Linked DNA regions of Coturnix japonica. The protein of the gene in region 2 interacts with the protein of the main gene of each other region in a biochemical or structural test. Links are inferred from orthologs where the notes say so. Each region holds a gene or a part of one and is shown on either strand. Other genes may lie near its edges.

Region 1 (3,063 bases), on a different chromosome or scaffold from region 2:
TTCTAAGTTGTTTTCTGTATCAGACTGTAGACAGAAAACTAAGAGGGGAGGTAGGTTTTGGGTTTGTATGTTTTTCTCCCAGTTCACAGAAGGAAAACTGCTATCTCTGATTGTAAATTGTGATGGCCATCACGCTCTCTCCTCTCTCTTGAATTTCCCAGTGGGATGCTTGCTGTGTTACTGCATGCAGCTCCTTAGAATTAAACAGAAACCATCAACTGTGTGTGATCACTTGGGCTCTCATTATGAGATTCCTTTGTCCAGGCCTTGCTCTTATCCTATGTGCTGAATGTATAATTCAAACAGAGTTCTGACGACAGTTAGGAAACTAAATGATGAATCTCTGAATTAATTCACTTTTTCTTTCTCTCCCCTCCTTTCTTTTTCTTTATTTTTCCCTTCCTGTTTTTAGGAACAAGATGCCCATGAAGTTTAATCTCTCTTAGCCTCAAAAGAAGAACTGGGGAATAACAGTTATGGATCCTTTATACTTTTCCAACACATTTAACATGGACTCAAGTTCCAGTGATTTGAACTCCTCGCTGCTGACAAATACAACAGAGAATGGGACACTCTCAGAGCAGCTCCCATTCAAATACATCCACAAAGTCCTGATTCCCATCTTTTACATCCTGGTATGTGCAGTTGGACTCAGTGGCAACACATTGGTTATATATGTGGTTTTGCGTTATGCCAAGATGAAAACTGTCACCAACATTTACATCTTGAATTTGGCTGTTGCTGATGTACTCTTCATGTTGGGCCTGCCCTTCCTGGCCACACAAAATGCCATCTCCTACTGGCCTTTCGGCTCCTTTCTGTGCAGGCTGGTTATGACTGTAGATGGTATTAACCAATTCACAAGTATTTTCTGTTTGACTGTGATGAGCATGGATCGCTACCTGGCAGTAGTTCATCCCATTAAATCAACCAAGTGGAGACGTCCCAGGGTGGCCAAACTCATCAGTATGACTGTCTGGACGTTCTCATTCCTGGTGGTGCTTCCAGTCTTTATCTTTTCGGACGTGCAGGAAGACTTTCACACCTGCAACATGAACTGGCCAGAGCCTGTCAACATCTGGTCTGCAGCGTTCATCATCTATACATCAGTCCTTGGGTTCTTTGGTCCTTTGTTGGTGATCTGTCTGTGCTACTTGCTGATTGTGATTAAAGTCAAATCTTCAGGGATTCGAGTTGGGTCTACAAGGCGCAGGAGATCGGAGAGGAAAGTGACCAGGATGGTGGTGATCATTGTGGTTGTCTTTGTGTTCTGCTGGCTCCCATTTTACATGATGAACATTGTCAATTTGATATTTATACTGCCAGAAGACCCTGTGCTGGTGGGGGTGTATTTCTTCGTGGTGGTTCTGTCCTATGCGAACAGCTGTGCCAACCCTATTCTTTATGGATTTCTTTCCGACAACTTCAAGCAGAGTTTTCAGAAAGTCCTTTGCCTCCGGAAGGGCAATGGCGTAGAGGATGGTGACCCCATTGAACACAGGCAAGAGAACAGCAGTCGCTTGCAGGAATCAATGTTAACCCAGAGGAATATTGAGTACAATGGACACATGCAGACTAGCAAGGTGTGAGGGCATGGTGTGAGACTGCCAAGCACTTGTAGGCCTGGAGAACTTGAGATTTAAGGGAAGGATGAAATCACAACTAAAATCTGGAGGCCCATCAGCTCCAATGAATGTACGGAGTCTTCTTTTCACTCCCTTCCCTTTCACAGCTAAAAGTGCTCTGGGTTATACTGAGCTGTGTGAAGTTCTCGCGGTGTTTTAATTAAGGCAGTCAGATGTATGTTACTGCTTCCTGTACTCTAGAGAACCAATCTACTGGTACCCACTGCCAGCTTTGTCCTCCTCCAGTAATCCAAAACAACACAAAATGTGTTCTATACACTTTGTTAAGCTGAGCTCGTGGCTGGGGTCAGCTCGAAACAGAAAACATCTCAAATAATTCCTGTGAAAATACCTTTGAAAGCCTTCAGAGGGGTCTCTTCAAAGAAATGACACTATTTCTCAACAGAAGTTCCACACAGAAAAGGTCACAGCACTGATCATGAAATTATGTAAAATCCATTGTTTTAGAGTGCTGTGTAGTCCATTTGCATTGTTCTACTGTTATTAATCCGTATAAATCTCAAAAGTATTTGGGAGTCTTTCGAATAGTAAGAAAGAATAATAAATAATATATTTAAAATAACAAAAAAAGAGTAGGAGAAAAATGTTGGAAGGATACAACATGTTTGTAATACTTTCACATTCTAAACCAAACTGCATATAAAATGTAATGTATCCACTTTATTATTATGTAAGTCAAAATGATTGTGAAGTGCTGGCAAGCTGTTATGTATATTTATTGGTTCTGAATGTAAGTATGGATGTGAATTTAAGCTGTATTTTCAGAAATTAAAACAAGTTCAACACCTTTTTGACTTTCCATTGCGTAGCTTCCTCAAACACTTGGCAATGCAAACAAAAAGGTACAGCCGAGACTTACCTCAATGTGGACACAATAGAGTTTAGTTGGGTTCAATGTGGGAACCTCCATCCTGCTCAGACACCAAAGTCACTGTGTCTTATGGTGCTTGAGAGCTCAATGGATAAACAGAGATCAAATGACTGATGTGAGACCGTACAGCAGAATAAGGAACAAGGAGCAGTGTGCAGGTCTGACTTCTGTCTCGCGGCTGACCTGAAACACTTGCACAGTTAAGTGAGGGATCTTCTACTGTGAAAAGATGAAAACAAATTACAGGTTTGTTTTAATGTAGGCAGAAGCTATTTAATCTCTTCAGAAATTGCTTTCTACCACTGCTGCTACCCACGCAGGTCAAACAGTCCTGCAAGGAAATTCATTTGTATGTAATAGAATGCAAGTCAGTGAGAGGAAATGAGGGGGCATCTCAGCTATTCCTTCCAACCTTTGGTGGCCTTTAACGTCTCTAGGGGACATGGCTGGGCCCCAGCAGCAGCAGGAAATATCAGCCTGATAGTGTACAAATAAAGCAGGTTATTCATAAGAACTCCTAACTGAGTATGAAACTGACATGGAAAC
Region 2 (3,657 bases):
AAAGTGTACAGGATCGTAACAAACAGGTGGACAAGGAATGTCAGGAAAATAACTCCCGAAATATTCTCCCACCTCAGGCTGAAATGGATCAATGGACTAAATGGAAAATGAGCTACGCCTGAAAATAAGGAAGATCAAATGAATAAGGAATTTAATCTTTCCCTCAGATACAGGGAAAGTGTGCAGGCAAATTCAGTGCTTTTAAAAAGCTCTTAGACTAGTTGGACCAGCCTCACATCTTACAACTGCAGCAGAATTTTATACAGCTATGATTTTCAAAGACGGTAAAATTACTACTTGGCTTCAAATTACACTCTCTGCCAGGGAGCACAGAGTGTTCTAGGCCACTGGCCAGTTTCAGAGTGCACTCTTACTTTACTAACTGAGAGGGGAAAAAAATAATAATAATAATTAAAAAAAAAACAAAACCACACAGTAGCAGTGGATTTATCTGCTAATTTGTACCCAACATGCCTGTAATTTTTGATGCATCAGAAAAAACATATCTATGTCTGTTGACCTGTTCCTTCTTTACACAGATTCATTTTTAAATACTAGTGCCTGTGTGGTGAAAACTGTACAACTTGTCTATTCTAAAAGCCTTCAAACAGTATGCCATATGACAAGGGCTATTACAAAAAATGAACCAAATAACTCCACTGAGTGAATGGGACTCATGCGTACAAGCACACACACAAAACAATCTTGTAAATAGCAAAGTTAAGGGATTTATAAATAGAAAAATCTTTGAATAAAGTATATACATTTTTAGGATTTTTCTATTAACATATATATAGTGCTCCTATGAGAAACAAGCAACCGTGTTCTACATCACAATTTTGAAGGTCAAATTAATTGATGTTACTCTAAAGGCCATCCAAGTTTTTCCTTAGGTACGTAATATCCTACATACTAACACTTCCAAAAATGTTTTTTTCACATTAGTTCCACTGTCAAATAATAAAATCTTTTCACATTACAGTCCAACAGCCTGCAAAGCAGTGAATAGGAAAGCTATCTTAGCTGTCTGAAATAATAAATGTGATTACGAAGAGAGTTTGTATATGAAAAAAAAAGTTGCATTTCACCTAAAGATCTACAAGGTCAATTCTTGTACATCTACAGTTATACAAGAAACTGGCCAAGAAGCTGTCCTCAGCATCTCCATTTGCAACCATGCCATGGGCCTTTAGATGCACACCAATTAAAAGCTAGTTTCAGATACACTGCCATTACAAAAACAGTATCTTTTCTCTTTCAACAGTAAGACAATTACAGGTTAATACAACTGCCCAAAAGTAACAGATAGGGCCAGACACTGTACAATTCTGAGCAACTCTTATAAAGTACTGTGCACTTTATTTTCACTTCTTTAAAGATTATTTTAATCTGAAATATGTTCAGTACCTATTGAGAGTACTCAGCATTTCTTAAGCTCAAGCTAATAATGACCAATTCAGATGACTCCACACCAGTAGTAACCAAATCCATTCAAGAACGCACACTGAACTGATGATGTTCAGACACAATACCAAAGGGCACACATAACTGTGGATGTCTTTTAAAACTAATTATGTTTGTAAAACCCTTTAATACCATGTTTAAATACGCTTGGAGCAGTTTTCATATGGAAGAATTAGCAGTGAATTAATTAAAAGAATAATATCAAAAAGCACACCCATAATATTATCATGGGTCATAGCTAGTAAGCACTCCATTGCTGAATTTGGGTTTTGAAGACCTTGCTTAGTAACAAGGTTTTGCTATTTTGAGAGGAAAAAAATAATACAACCAAAAAACAAATGAACAGAAAAAAAAACATTGTTTTTGAAAGTTATAAATCAAAATCTCCAAGTGGAAAATTCAGGTATGCAACAGTACAATTCTCCCTCACCTTCCAGAGTCAAAGCTTGTTTCACAACAAACTGAACACTGGTTGTCCCTTTAAAACATCAAGGGGTTAAAATGAAGCTGGTCACATCTTATCCCCCTTCCTTAGGGATATAAAAGAAAATAAAAGCTGAAGGTATTGAGGTTATCCTTTTTAGAAATCCCATGCTTTGGTGCTTATTATTAAAAGGAAATTCATTTTACATGCAATGTGTTAAGTAGCCGTTGTGTGTCAAGGAAAAGACAGTTCTCCACGCTTAAAATTGCTCACAATGAAGCCCTGAGGTAACTGCCTTTTTTCCAGGCAAAAGTAACAGTTCCCTTTGACTTTTGATTACCCTTTTACAACCTACATTTGTGTACGCAAACTCGGAGCAGTCAATATTGATTATCAGTTGTTCCCAAAGATGGGATCTGTCCAGTTGTTTTTGTTTGTTTCTTTCTTTCTTTAGGATAAAGACTCAGCAGAACGGGTTAATTTGGGTGCAGCATCTTCTAATGAAGCTTCAACTGAATTCCCCAGGTCTCCATTTTCATGTCCATCAATACTTGGTTTCTTATCAAACACTGCAAGTTAAGAAGAAATTTTATTTAAAGAGAAGTAATCTTGGGAATAAAAGATTAGTGAGATTTATTTCAGAAACTAGAAAATGTCCTGAGAAGACTGCTAAAAATACAAGCTCATGTTTTCAGTAAAACACTATGGAAGGAAAACATAAATTCTTGACAAACATCTAAAAAAACATACCTGAAGAAGTGAACAATACAAAATAATGGCTCACAGGGTATTAACTACACCTAGACTAGTCAGGAAAAAATAAGAACAATTGGGAAAAAGTGATCAGGAAAAAAAACAATACACAAAACACAAAAAAATTATCTAATTCAGTTTTATCTAAGTAAACCAAGCCAGTGAGTAAGGGGCCAACCAAAAGAGCTGACAACTTACTAGTAGGTTAACTGAATTAACAGAAGATAAATGTTACAATTAACACAAGAACAGTGTTCTCCAGAAACTGGTTTGTATACTGAGACCTCAGAATTAAATACAACGCTTTTTAGAAGGCTTACCTTGTGAGGGTTTGACATCCACATTTACTTCTTTCCTACTGGAACCTGAATTTTCTCCTTCTTCCAGTTCATCAAGATATAAACGATAACGGTGTCCACTCTCATCCTCATATTCTACATTTTCATCATCCGAATCAACTTCTGGAGCAACATACACTACTTCAAATTCAATCTCGCCTCTCTAGAACAAAACCGAAATAGGAATATATTCAAGGGAACATACTAATTGTCTGAAAAAGAGAAGCAATGCAGCAACAAGATTCTAGACCACAAAGCATATCAGAAACATTTTCCATTTGGGGCTGTCCACTCATAAAATAATAGACCAGGTATCACTAAATAATTATTTCTATGGGGAGATTTAACAAGAAGATTTCCACCAGCCTTACAAAAGAATCATTGGCCAACACAAAGGTTTAACAGAACAGTATTGACCCAGCCCTTTTCTCATAAACTGTAAGACATAGGAGGACTCACTGTAAGGTGATGGAGCTTCAGGAATTACCATAGCTTAGCATAATACTGTTTGATTGAAAACATTAAAAGTCAAGGCAATGCAATAGGCAGAATAAAGGAAGTGCATAAATTTGCCTGTGGATAACAGGCCCCAACTGACCTGTTGAGAGAGGATAGTTACAGCTTCTTTATGTTTGGCATCTCTTAGATTAACTCCATTTACTGCCAGAATAGCATCAC
Region 3 (3,202 bases), on a different chromosome or scaffold from region 2:
ATTTTACACGCACTTCCCGACAAAAGAGACCTTTTACATGTCAATTTATTTTCAGACAAGCATATCTGAAAGGGAGTTTCTCTCCAGAGCAGAATTAGTATTAATGGCAGGTGTTCTGGCGCTGCACAAAGGAGGAAGGCAGCAAGTGAGCTGTGCTGAGTGGCGAGACAGCTTGATGTGTTAATAACCAGAGCAAGAAAATGGAGTGGCAGTAGACCTCCAGCTTCCATAGCATGAATGAAGGTTTTATTCATTGCCTGCCCTGTACTTGAAAAAGATGTTGATATATTTAAAATGTTGTCTTTGCTTTCAAAAGGAGATTACGTTGTTGAATGTTACATGAAAGCACAGCACTTGCCCCACATCCTGGCGTGTGCCTACAACTCCAGAACATCCTGAGGCCCTGCTGGGGGCTGGTGGCACCTTGAAGCCAACCCATCTGGGGCTTGTCCCAGCCAGTGACTGGTGGCAAAGCTGCAGGAAGGAGTTAAAACTGCATAAACATCATATACAGGTGGGGTCTGGCAGAGGGTACATGGAGCTGTGCTGCATTTCAGTAAGGAAAAAAGATGATTGCTTAGAGAGTTACCAGACTTCACTTTCCAAACAGCCCAAGAACTCACGGTGGGAACAGCTACCAGGCCAAAAAGCATTTATTTATGCTCCATTTAATTTGACAGGTCAGTACCACATCATTAAGAGGAAGGCACGGCTGCTTTACGCAGTGGGAAGAAGGAAAACAGTCTCTCAGCTGGGTCAGCCCTTCTGCAATAGAAAACATTGCTGATTTATGCTCCCAAATGGGAAATCTCAACCTTTCCTACTCAGAAGCTGCATTTACACAGAGAGAGATGCTCACTGCTATCTCCAGGCCACGTGGCTGTGGGTTAACACAGTACCCAGGCACAGCTGAATAATTCCAGGTAGACTCCGTGATTAGAAGCTGGATCCCAGACTGCATCTTTCCAAAGCTTTCCTTCAGATCTACAGGACAGCAGGTTGAAGGAGCCCTGCTTTCACTCTGAGTAATGATGTGACCTCCATTCAGATGATAGCAGTTAATCCCTCTATATTTTGGGAAAGGTTTCTAATGCTGTCAGAGAAAACCACAAAGGGAGCAAAGGGCTGCCCGGCCACACAGATACCCACAGCTCTCATACACAGAGATCAACACATCCTTTTTTATTGAGCAGTGGAATTAAAAAAGTAACAGCACTTGGTTGACTGGGAACTAATAACCAAAATTTGCCAGTAGCAGAAATTCGCACAAGGATCTTTGCTGACTTCAGTCACACCCTCGTGCACCTGCAGCCTCTGCCATTCTGCTCTGCCAGCACTGGGGCAGCTCCAGCACTGGCCTGCAGGTGAGAGTGGGCCTGGGATTTACTTCTAGCACAGTTCACCTCAAAGTGTTGGGTTCTATTAACACTAAAATGCCCTGAGAGAAGGAGTTCCCCTCCGCAGCCCACATCCTGCCATCTTTCCTTTTGATTCCTACCTTGTTCCAACTATTTCTCATTATTTCCCACTGCAAAGTGGTGTAATACACCTGAGAGGAGGTGGCCCAATATGCAGCCCTGCTACAGTACTGCTGGTTTGCCTGTCACAGGACAAATGACACAGCTCTGTAGATCTGTGTGCCCTGGTGGCCAAAGAAGGCCAATGGTAACCTGGGGTGCATTAAAAAAACATGTGGATAGAAGGACGAGGGAGGTGATCATGCCCCTCTGCCCTGCCACATCTGGAACACCATGACCAGTTCTGGGCTCCAGGCCCTTAATCATCTTTGTGGCCCTCTGCTGGACTCTCTAGATGATTCCTACCTTATTTGAAATGATGTAGCTACAAAAAATATCTGTCCCTACGTGGGAAAGGGTGAATCAGAGCTGCTTCTTAGTGCCACTTGACATCAGTTATACATTCTAGTTCTCATGTACACAGATGGTCGTCTTTAAAAATCAACAATTTACACTTCAAAAAAGTTTTACAGTGAAGTTCTTTCAGCAAAGATCAGTCCACGCAAGGAGGAGCCAGTCTACTGCAGGCAGAAGGCACTTGGCCTTGACGTAGATTTGGGAACAAGTCCTCAAGGGGCAGGCACCGACTGCCCTATGTCCTGCCACACCTCAGTAGTTCTGCAAAGTCTGGTGTAACCACCCCACACTGCCCCATTCTCACAGGGTGGTGGAGGGGAGCTTCTTCACCCGCCGCTGTGCCAGGATGGAAGACTCGATGGGTTTCAGCTGGGGGCTCGGCTTGGAGCTGTTCAGTGCAGAGTATGTGGCAGCCATTGCCCCCTTGGAGAGAAGACACAAGAGTGATCACTCAGGTGTGGGAGATGCTTTACAAGAGGAGGGAGCAGAGGAGCCAGAATCAAAGCCAAGATCAGATTGCTTTTTTTTCTTTAAATCTCCATCCCTCACTGACATGCCATTCATAGAACGATAGAATCACTGAGGTTTGGAAAAGACCTCTAAGATCACCAAGTTCAACCCCCACCTATCCCCACCATGCCCACTGACCATGTCCTTCGGTGCCACATCTCTATGTTTTCCAAACACCTTCAGGGATTGTGACTCCACCACCTCCCCTTGTAGAGAGTGATGAGGTCTCCCCTGAGCCTCCTCCGTATAGAACATCCCATTTCCCTCAGCTGCTCCCCATAGCACTGTGCTCCAGATCCCTCTCAACTCCATTTCCTTCTCTGGACATGCTCCAGGGCCTTGATGTCTTTCCTGTAGTGGGGGGCCCAAAACTGAACACTTGGGGTGCTGCCTCACCAGTGCCATACAGAGAGACAGTCAATTCCTGCTCCTGCCAGCTGTGCTACTGCTGACACAGCCGAGATGCCATTGTCCTTCTTTGCCATCCGGGCACTCTGCTGGCTAATGGTTGACACCTGGCTGAACAACACTCCCAGGTCCTCTTCTTCCTTGCAACTCTGCCTTGCTGCCCCAAGACTGTAGAACTGGCATGGGTTTATTGTGACCAAAGTCTTGCTGAATTTCATCCCATTGGCCTCAGCCCATTGATGATCTTGTCCAGGTCCCTCTTTAGAGCCTTCCTACCCTCATGCAGATCAACACTTTTTCCTAGTCTGGTGTCATCTGCAGAATTCCAGAGGGTGCACTCAATCCCCATGTCCAGCTCATCATAGAAGATATTAAACTGGGCTGGCCCCAGTATCAGCTCCTGGGGAACA

What was found.
Region 1: the proteins of GOPC (region 2) and SSTR5 form a complex in vitro, tested with the Homo sapiens proteins (2 studies listed by BioGRID and IntAct, with this or other methods). The link is inferred for Coturnix japonica from reciprocal best matches to the Homo sapiens genes GOPC and SSTR5.
Region 3: the proteins of GOPC (region 2) and RPS6KA1 interact in a test that uses a peptide from one of them, tested with the Homo sapiens proteins (2 studies listed by BioGRID and IntAct, with this or other methods). The link is inferred for Coturnix japonica from reciprocal best matches to the Homo sapiens genes GOPC and RPS6KA1.

The regions. Positions count from the first base shown.
Region 1 is NC_029529.1:5,616,991-5,620,053, reverse strand, and holds the end of SSTR5 (somatostatin receptor type 5), read left to right. Parts: intron 1-412; 5' UTR 413-476; coding exon 477-1,589; 3' UTR 1,590-2,436; downstream 2,437-3,063.
Region 2 is NC_029518.1:57,644,537-57,648,193, reverse strand, and holds part of GOPC (Golgi-associated PDZ and coiled-coil motif-containing protein), read right to left. Parts: coding exon 3,578-3,657; intron 3,143-3,577; coding exon 2,962-3,142; intron 2,458-2,961; coding exon 2,339-2,457; 3' UTR 1-2,338.
Region 3 is NC_029538.1:142,783-145,984, forward strand, and holds the end of RPS6KA1 (ribosomal protein S6 kinase alpha-1), read right to left. Parts: intron 2,298-3,202; coding exon 2,175-2,297; 3' UTR 636-2,174; downstream 1-635. UniProt on the Homo sapiens protein: Serine/threonine-protein kinase that acts downstream of ERK (MAPK1/ERK2 and MAPK3/ERK1) signaling and mediates mitogenic and stress-induced activation of the transcription factors CREB1, ETV1/ER81 and NR4A1/NUR77, regulates translation through RPS6 and EIF4B phosphorylation, and mediates cellular proliferation, survival, and differentiation by modulating mTOR signaling and repressing pro-apoptotic function of BAD and DAPK1.